Linked DNA regions of Drosophila melanogaster. The protein of the gene in region 1 interacts with the protein of each later gene in a biochemical or structural test. Each region holds a gene or a part of one and is shown on either strand. Other genes may lie near its edges. The genes, in order: boi and vn.

Region 1 (5,168 bases):
TATCATGTTATATTATACAAAGTATATTAGAACGGCAGCCGGATAAAGTAAAATAGATAATCGACTATATTAAGCTATCATAAAGGACATTAAATACATAAGAGTTTTTTTTTCCTAGTTAAATAGTTAGCACCAAATCAGACATATGCGGAGTTCACACATATGGTATTGTTACAGATCCTATCTAGTATTAGCCAATTCTTACTGGATTGTACTCCTTTCGAAGCCAAGCTCAGGTCACACAACTCTAAAGCTATATATTTGATCATACCCGAACACCAGTTATCTATAGGTAGAAAACTCTTGCATAGATAGGTAGTTCAACGTAACCATATCCTATAGGAAAAACCCTTAAAACAGATATCTGTGCAATCTATCCTGAGATACGGTAGCTTTAGCTCAATGTAGTCGAAATGTACTCTGCTTTGTGACCATATCTATGAATACTATTATTATTGTTACCAGCAAGGAATACCTATAAACCATATGAAACAATTATAAAATTATATATAATTTTACCAGATCTCAAAAAGCTGACTACGTTATTATTTGATACAGCTGTGTATTATCCAAGCTTATTAGCTAGATGTTCTTATAAAGATGGGTAGTTCTGAGATGCATAGTTTCCCAATTATTTAAAATAATATAATATATGTCAATAAAATAATAATATGGCATGTAAGAAGTTATAAATTCAAATTTACATTGACATTGAGTGTACGAAGAAAACCATAGTTCTTCTTCGCGTTGAGGCAAAGTCTGAAAATGCAGTTTGGCGAGGCTTTTATCAAATTTTATCAAATATAAGTAATGTATTTATTAAAGTTAGACCGCACACATTTGATTTTATAATAATTTTTTATAATAATTTTTTAATTACAAGTTTTTATTTTTTTAATTTATTTACAATTTCTCTCGTTTCTTCATTTTATTTAATTAGTAACGACGATCCACTGGGAGGAACCGAACCGCCAGTCGTCTGAGGACACAACCAACAGCCGAAACTAGCTTTTTAATTAAACATTAACAAATGAAACAAAACGAACAACAATTTTTATATATACAACATATGCATAAGCCCAAGAAAATCCACAAAAATTGAATATTATATCACTTACACATAATATAAAAAAAACAAAAACAAAAGAGAAACGATCACTTCAACTACAATTGCTTCTTCGATCCTTAAGTCTAAGTTAAAGATTGTAGCAAGGAAAAATGCGAAAATATCACAAACATTTATTTAACAAAAACGCCATGCAAGAAGTGAAACGAAACAGATACAATAATGCAACTAATGCAAAATAATACAGAAAATACAGTTAAAGCCTAGAACCCTAAGAACTTACTAACTAACTCGAGCAACAACAACGCATACTAGCCAACTGCAACCACAAAATCCACAATAGTGAAGGCATTTTAATCATAATTTTAGTCTCTAGCTTATACCTATGACTACGACTCTTTTTTTGCCAGCCCAGTGTAAAAAGTTGGAGATCGAAAATTGGCCCTACACACATACAAGACCACGTTATTGATTAAAAACCAATTGATAATACACCTACATACATATAATGATAAATGAATTACTAAGAATGCAACTATTGTGAACGAGCGAAAACCGTTGAGTGGATAAAAGCGAATGCAGAAGATATATTAAAATGAAATCAACAACAGTCTGGAATGTGTTTAATTGTGGGAGGAGTTCTTCATTCATAAATCATCATTTCCATAGATCATCTTCATCTCTATTAACGATTAAGATTAAGGATTAAGGATTCAGAATAAAGGTATTTATTATACTCATTATAAAACTTAAAAGGTATGCTCACAACAATCATTAGTTCCGACTTCCGTTATAATTCATTTGTAATATCAAAATACAGTGGCCTCCTCCCGATCAAGCAAATTCAAAATTGTAAGAGAAGAGAAGAATTCAATTACATTACAACAAAAGAGAAGAAAGAAGACAACTTCAAAATGTTCTCTTTTGGTTTCTCTCTTGGTTCTCTGCTCTTTCTCATCAAGATTTTCGAAGCGCGCCCAAAAGTATGCACGAATTGATATAAGTACTACATTACGTTACTTGGCTCACTTCGCTTCGCGCCGCCGAGCAAGAAAGACGTGTGTGCGGAGTCTGCGCGAAACTATAACAGAGTTATATTTGAATATATATCTCAAAATAAAATCGTCGTGCTAATAACGGTTATTTGTTTACCTTTTTTTTGGCTGTTCTAAATCCCTGTGAGTGCTGGTTCGGCTGCCCTTGAGGTGCATTCAAATTAGGAAGTGCAAAGAAAGAGAGAGCGAGAGAGAGAACGAGCGAGAGCGAGAAAAGTGCGTGTGCCAAGTTTGTTTTTATTTTTATAACGGCAGCCGGCTAAAAAGGCAGCGGCGTCGCGTAGGAAACACCTAATAACTATAAATTATGCCCTGGCGGAACATCAATACTTGGCGAATGTCCGTCGAGAAGTGATCTCCATATCCCCAGAAATTCGATTTAAGCCGATGCCAATCGCCCTGTTCTCGAGTGTGTGCATGTGTGTGTGTGTTCGAAAGGCTTTGAAAATGCCATAACATTTTAATGGGTTTCTGTTATTTGGACTGCCTTTTCTCTCGGCTCTCATTGTTCTTTTACTGCTTGTTTCTTATGTGATGGGAAAATCGCAAGAATGCTGCGACCAGTGATCAAAATCTAATCAAAATATTTACCGTTCGTTTAGAGTGCGACAAGCGGCGCAGATTGGAATTGGATTTGGATAGAGGATTTAGCTGCCCTTCGAGGTTTCAGTCAACAGGTGAGTTTTGCAACGGTAAATGGCCAATGGCCAGTGGCCAGTGTCTCGAAAGTAGTTCATCTGGTCAGTGCAGTCCGTAAATGTCGGTAAATCAGAGAAACCCCCTTCCCCGGAATTACCACTGCCATATCGATCGATTCCAGTTGACAAGTTTTTCGCGATGGTCATGTGGCCATGTCCTTTTTTGGCCAACAGGCGATGGCCAATGGCCAATTGCCAATTGCCGTTACTCTTATGTGTCAGCGGGCCCCCAACAAAATCACAAAATAACAACAAGTGTTGCACATCAAATCCAGCGCGTACATAAACCAGAAAAGTGCACAACCAAACCTGTCATCCGAGGTGGCAGGGGTCCCAAGACCATCCTTCATTCCCCTTTTTGCTCGTTGATAACATTAATGAACTGTCTATGTGCCGTGCACCAGAATAGAACCCCAAGTTGGGAATGGGATGGGGGATCGGGAGAGGTTGCACAACTACAGTGGGCCCTCCGTAATGTGGAGATCCTTAGACCAATATGTGAAACAATTATTATAATTCTTTGCAGAACTTAACTTTTCTCAAGAGTTTTTTTTTGTTTTTTTTTTGTTGTTGTATGCGCGGAACATAACCACCAGTTTCTACAGTCTCCACAGTCCGTCGTTTGCCAAGTCCACCTGTAGCTTAAGCACGCACATTTCTGTTGCCATTGGCAAGAGGTGAGCGAGCGGAATGCAACAGGCAGCTGGTCGCAGAACAAGATCATCTGGGAGAAGAGAGATAGAGATACATAGATGCATTCAGGGAACCGGACACTTGGCCAAAACCAAAACTAAAACCAATACCAATGCCAAACCTGAAACCGGAGAGCATTCCCATTTTCCAGCCCGTTCCCGCTAACAATAAATCAAAGGGCCGGGGGAAAAGCCCAACAATAAAAATCAAGCCAAGTGTCGTCGTCTCATTCTGCAGGCCAAAAAAGGGATGGAAGGCCAAAGGGGAATGGGAATCGGAATGGTCAGAGAGCCTTTGTCTCGTTGTTGATGGGATTTCATTATTACTTTCGATTGTGGCCCATTGAGACACAGTTCCTTAGCTCCGTCTTGTTCGTCGTCGAAAATGCAGACAAACAAAAAGGTCTCTCGGTCCAAACAAAAATAAACACACCGAGCAGCATCATCACCATCATCGCCGTCATCGTCATCGTTCTCATTCCCATTCCCATTCCCAGTCGCAGTCCCAATCCCAATCTTGTACCATCCACGTCGTCATCTTCCTGGTCTCCTTTGCTGCAACTCTAATCGCATAAGCAGATAGACCAGGTGAACTGTGGACGAGGGGAGCAAAGCGACAGGGCCACACTGAAAGAAGGTAGAAAATAAATAAAGCGATAAATGGAAAATAAATTTCAAAAAATTGCTTTTCAAGTGGCCCAGCAAACGAAACCCCCGCCCCGAAACCCAGGGCCCTATTCGATGTGGGGTCCACTCCAGCAGACTAGAGTCAGTCTGGCTAGCTACCGATCTGAAACATGGCTCTAGCCAGGTCCTTTTCACTGTTGAATCATTCGGGCTGCAATGAATCAATGGGAAATGGCTTAGCATAAAACGGGATAATTGGATGGGACAGTAAAGGGTCTCGATCTTGCAAGCATCTTAATTGCATCAATCGTACAGCCCACCCAGGCATGCGATTTAGAGTTAGAGGAGTGAATTCATTCCGCAAATGAAGAGCTTAACTCATAGCTGTACGCATTTCCAATTGATCTCGGCCACTATTTCCCATTCTGTGCGCTCGAATTTCATGGCCAAAACGTCCGCGATCGATTCTCACACCCCATTAGCACTGATCCACTGATCCAGTTTCCATCCAGCCCACATTCATAGTCATAGTCATAATGAGGAAAACAGAATGCTCCGAGTGCATTTGCCACAAAATTAGACATTGACACCTATTCCCCTTGGGATTTCGATTTCGAATTGGGTTCCGTAAAAACGGCGCATAAAAATTATTTCACGCCACACCAAAATGGGCCCCCAAGAAATTATGATTAATGCTGAAAACATAAATTGGATTTGATTTCTGTTTGTTTGCCGCTTTCTTGCAGCTTTGCCTCGCTTTTACTCGCTCTTTTTTCGGCGTTTTTGTGTCTTTGGGATTTGTTTTTGTTGGTCTTGGACTTCATGGATAACTTCCCCTTCGCCCTCTCTTCATCATTTTGTGTTGTATTTTTTTTTTTTTTTTTTTTTTTGCTAGGTAGCCGCCGCCTGTTCATTAGCACAGACTAATCATTGGAGCACAAGAGGCTGCCGTGGGGCAGGAGAAAAAAAGATCGAGAAAGGTGGCAATCAACGTGAATGAATGAATGGCTGAACTCTCGTCTCGACTTTG
Region 2 (5,152 bases), on another chromosome or scaffold:
ATATGTGTTTGTGTTTTGATGATACAATGACGCTGCGCTTGGCAGCTGTTGTCTGTCGTCAGCCAGGTTCTAAAAGGGAGTGAGGGGATCTGGATCCCTGGATTCTGCAGCTTGTCCAACGTTTGCTTCCAGCACTTCCTTCCGTACTAGACAATGGAGTCTCTCTCTCTCACTTTTGCAGCTTTTCAAATATATGCTTAGCAAACTCAAGACAATCTACCTGCTCGAACTCTGAACTCTGAACGCTGATCGCTGAGCAGCGGCGACAGGTGTCGAGCTTTATTTCCGCTTCCGGGCGCTTTTCGCGTATGAACTGCAATAGTTGGCCCAATCGATAAGAACACTATCATTTGGTAGCGTTTTTTTTTTGCGCTCTTATCAGCTGGTTTGTTTCGATAAGTAGGGTAAGTACCTGTTTTGCTCATTCAGAAACTGGCAATGACGTAGACCAAGTTGGCCCAGCTCCGTCACAAGTGGCCGACTTTGAACCCTTCTTTGCTTCTGGCTTTTCTTACAATTGTCGCACTTGTCACCACACCACTGCCGCCCCACCTAAGCTCCCCTTTTATGCTTTTTCTCTTTTATTTTTTTTTTCTTCTGTCAGCTTCTTTTATTGTTATGCGCAGTGCGTAGAACAAGTGGAAGCTTTGTTTGACAATAACAACAACAGCGAGTGAAACATCAGCAGCTGGGGCAAGTAAGAAACAAAAAAAAAAAAAAAAACGTTAAGTTTACACGACTTCCAAGCGCTGGACGGAATCACCTGCCGCATTTTGTTTTTTCTGTAGTCGCTGTTGTGGGCTTGACATTTGACAATAAAGCAAATAATCATGGGAAAAAAGCTGAGCCCCCAGAAGAACGACAACTCGCCGCCGCAGTCATCATAAGAAAATATCAAAAACGGGAGGAAATCCGGAACCGTAGTCAAAACAAACGAAAGCGTTGAGTTAAGAGCTGTTGGATGAAAGCAAAACTAAATTAAGATTGACGAGTTATGTAAGGGTCTCATATTGTGATCGATCGATTAGCAATAAATAGAAAAAATTATGTCTCTTGCTCACAATTTTGTTAACAAATTGCTCATTGCTTTTAGGCAAATTGTTAAAAAGTTACAGCTCTGTAATGATAACTAAGATTAGTTATGAATCCAAACTTTCTTGAACTAGATAAGATCGCCGACAGTACATTTAACTTATTCAAATGCAGCATAAGCGCACATCATTCATTCAATTACTTGGAATGACTCATTGAGCTAGGACTTGAACTTTTTGCGTATGAGCAATAATTTTTAAAGACCCTCAGACTGGAACTCATTTATAGCAGCCTATCAGAAGCTCGACGATTATGAGTAACTTATTGGAAATCGGAGCAAAAGCCAATGACAACTGTCCTCTTATCTATTTTTATCTATTGGATTGATAATATTGTCGTTAGACACCTATTTAATCGTCAACGGGTTCGATTTCCCTCCTAGTTCGGTTTTCATTTTAACGAGTAACGACGATATTTTTTTAATACGTTGTTTTTCTAGCATATATCGTATCGACTTATTACGGTAAGAAATTATCCTTGCAGCAGAGGAATAGAGGGATTTTTCGAGAGAGCGAGAGAGTAAATCGGATTTACAAAATATATTTTAATACCCTAAATTTGAAAAAAAAAGGACATTATAGACTTAAAGAATTTTAGAGCAATCTCTAAAGAAATTAGCATATTGTGAAGCATACTTTTAGAGACGAATAAGTAAAGGTCTCGTGCCCTCCTTGATGTTCCATATTAAATATCCCAATTGTTAACCACAAATCGCCTTTAAGTAATTGATATAAAGTAATGAATTGGATCACCCGAAATTGTTGAGAGAAAACTGCAGGGTTGAGAAAATGCTGGCGTTGCTGTGAGAAGAAAACGTTGGAGAAAACACTCAACGTTTGAGCGAAATGAGCGTGCCGAAGATATTCGAACACGGCCGAACGCAGTCGAACAAATTCCGACCAGTGAGATACGTTTGAGTCGTGAGATACGTTTGAGTTGTATCCGTGAGATACGTTGTGAATGCTACAACTCTGCTCTGCATCGGTGAGATACGTTTGAGTCGTTTTCGCGGCGTCAAATCGAGCAGACCTGTGCCGCTCCGTAGAGCGAGTTCGTCCAAATAAAAAAAGAATTATACGAAATTCCGCCTGTGTTAGGAGCAGAGAAAAGAATAATTTTAAACCAACATACACAATCAGTTAGTTTCCACCGACAGTCCGCAGAAACCATTCGACGGCAACGGAACGGGCGCGCGATTGTCGGCAATCCGTAAGATAGCCAAATATTATTATTGTTCAGATACTCACTGAGGGCGTTGATAAAAGATCAGCCAGACAACTGCAGATCCGAGTGGAGTGTTTTGAAATCAGTGAAATTCTGTGTGAAAAATCGTTGATTTATTAATATTCAAGAATAAAAGTTCCCAGCGAATTTCATCAGCTGGAGTAACCGAAGTGACCCACCAAGCAAATCGAACAACACAAATCGATCGAACGTGTAAAAGGACTTTCGGTTTCATTAAGCGTGTGCAATTGCTGATTTTCCCCGGCAAAGCGGACTTTTTGCGGAATGAATGAAATAAAAAAAAAACAGCAGTGGCAACTATAATAATAAAAACAACAACAGTGCAACAACAGCCGGGGCATCTTCATAGATTTTGGCTCTCCTGAAGCAACAACTTCTGCCTGCACTTGGTATATGTACTTATCACATAGACATATATATACGCACAGATATATAAAACAAAAACGATCGCTTCTCGTGCCAGCGCGTGTGATTGTGTGCGTTCCCATGTTGCATATATATATGCACAAAAAATATATATATTTATCTAGAGCCGACTGTTGCGACGACTTTTCTATATAATCGGCTAGTGAGCACGCAGACATCGAAAAGGTGCACAAATACATCAGCAGATGCGGGTATATATGTATTGCACATATATCTAGCCAAAGCCAAAGTAGAAGATATATATGCGTATAAGCTGAACGCGGCGCACTCTGCTCTGTTTTTTCTTTTATAATTACTTTTGTCTAAAATTAGAAGACGTGTGTGTTGTGTGTGCCCCGTCCGTGTATCCGTATCCGTGAGATACGCGAGAGTGTCCGCGTCTGCTATATCGCACATCATCATCGCCGTACACCATCCGCCGTCCAATATCCACCATCATCATCATCATCATCGCCATCCCCATCATCATCGTCGTCGTCGTCATCAGAGATCAGAGATCTGCAGCGGTGTGTGTGCCAGAAAAGACGACTCGTGAATCAGACTACGGCTACGACTACGGGTGCGACTACGGCTATATAGGCGAGAGATCGCGTATACGGCCAGACAAACATTATCGTATATCTGGCGCCGAGGATTACAATTACAAGAGCAGCAAACGCAACAGCAGCAGCAGGAGCGGCAGCCGAAGTTAAAGCCGAATACGAGTACGAATACGAGTACGAATATCCGAGCCCCACAAACGAATACGAATACAAATACGAATCCGAACCCGAATCGAGGCGATACGAAACGATCGCGCGCGTGAAAAGCCTCGTGAAGAAAAGCGCTACGAAAAAAGTGGGGGAAAAATCAAACGCCACGCGACCTTAGGCCCGTCCAATTTTGGGGGGGGGCGTGCAGCGGGGCGTGGCCGTGCGTCGACTCCTAGCGATCGCTCAAGTGAAACGCGGCGAAATTCTGTTCAGATAACAAAAATGAGTCACCAAAATAAGCAGCAACAGCAACAGCAGCAGCAGCAACATCAAAAGCAACAGCAACAATCGAGTGCGGCAAAGTGTTCATAAATTAATGCTAGGCATACAGTGTGTTAGACCAGTCCGAAATACACTATCCCCCTCTCTCTCGCTCTCGAACAGTCCGTCTCTCTCTTGCCCCTGCTGTCGCTCAAAATGCTACGAAACTATCGAAAGTATTTGCAGGATAAACGGAAATACGACAAGCCACAACGACGAGGCAGCGAATTTTACATTTGTCACGTTTAGGCAAATTGCAAGGACAAAGGACACACCAACCCCCCAGCAGCAGCAGCAGCAGCAGCAGCAGCAGCAGCAGCAGCATCACGCAGCAATACGCAGCAGCAGCAGCAAAGCGCAGCAGCAACACTCGCTATCGAGATTTTGTACATAAAGTCGGGGCAATAGCAGCAACAACTTTGGAGGACGCCATGTATGCGCAACATTTGCGCAAATGGAGTCTAAAAACAAAAAAGCAACTAATGCCATTGATATTGCTAATTATCAGCTACATGTTGCTACTAAACACATGTGTGTTGTCGTCGTCGGCGACGACGCAGCAGCAACAACAACAGCAGCAGCAGCAGCAGCATCTTCCAAGATTATGGGAAGGCAGTGCCGAAGAAAGCAGCTACTATATACCACTGAGTTCGGATAATGGCAGCGGGAGCAGTGAAAGCTCCGCCGAGAGCGGTAGCAGCAGCAGTAGAAGCAGCAGCAACAACATCGACAACAATATCTTAAGTAGGCTGCTCAGCCTCAACAGCAATAGTCTTAGTAGCCGTAGCAATGTTAAGTTAAAGCCAGCAACAGTATTCGACGCCGGCAGCAGTACACCCGCTCAGCAGGAGCAACATGTGGCTGCCGTGCCAGAGCAGCAGCAGCAGCAACAGCAGCAGCAGCAGTCAATGCAAAAAGTTCCAAATACGTTAATCAATAGTCAAATATATAATTTATTATACAATGGCATGCCCAGCGAGGCGGCGAGCAGCAAAATGCGTCGCCACATTCAACCATCACAGCTGCCACATCAGCCAGAGAGCAGAGCGCAATTACCGAGCAACTACAGCAGTCGGCCGGCGGTGCGGAGCTATCTAATCGAGTCCTACGAGATGCCAGAGAGCATGTTAGAGGATCGCAGTCCGGAGCAGGCGGCGCGAAGTCGTCGGGATGGCAGCAACACCAACGGCAGCCGGCAGCAACAGCGCACCGGCCACCGGCAACAGTTGCAGCAGGACAAGCGCGATCACCGCCGCCAGCGGCAGGATCAGCAGAAGGAGCAGCGCCAGCAGCAGCAGCAGCGTCAGCACAAGAGCGGCAACAAGCACCAGCAGCAGCAGCAGCAGCGCAGGAAGCACCAGCGGAAGCACCAGCGA

Evidence for each region.
Region 2: the proteins of boi (region 1) and vn form a complex in vitro, tested with the Drosophila melanogaster proteins (one study listed by BioGRID).

What each region holds. Positions count from the first base shown.
Region 1 is NC_004354.4:2,466,967-2,472,134, reverse strand, and holds the start of boi (brother of ihog), read left to right. Parts: upstream 1-2,091; 5' UTR 2,092-2,244; exon of another isoform or gene 2,245-2,530; intron 2,531-2,723; 5' UTR 2,724-2,798; intron 2,799-5,168. Other genes in the region: trol (terribly reduced optic lobes), read left to right, coding at 941-983.
Region 2 is NT_037436.4:5,842,614-5,847,765, reverse strand, and holds the start of vn (vein), read left to right. Parts: upstream 1-2,101; 5' UTR 2,102-4,207; coding exon 4,208-5,152. UniProt on the Drosophila melanogaster protein: Ligand for the EGF receptor. Seems to play a role in the global proliferation of wing disc cells and the larval patterning. Shows a strong synergistic genetic interaction with spi, suggesting a molecular interdependence.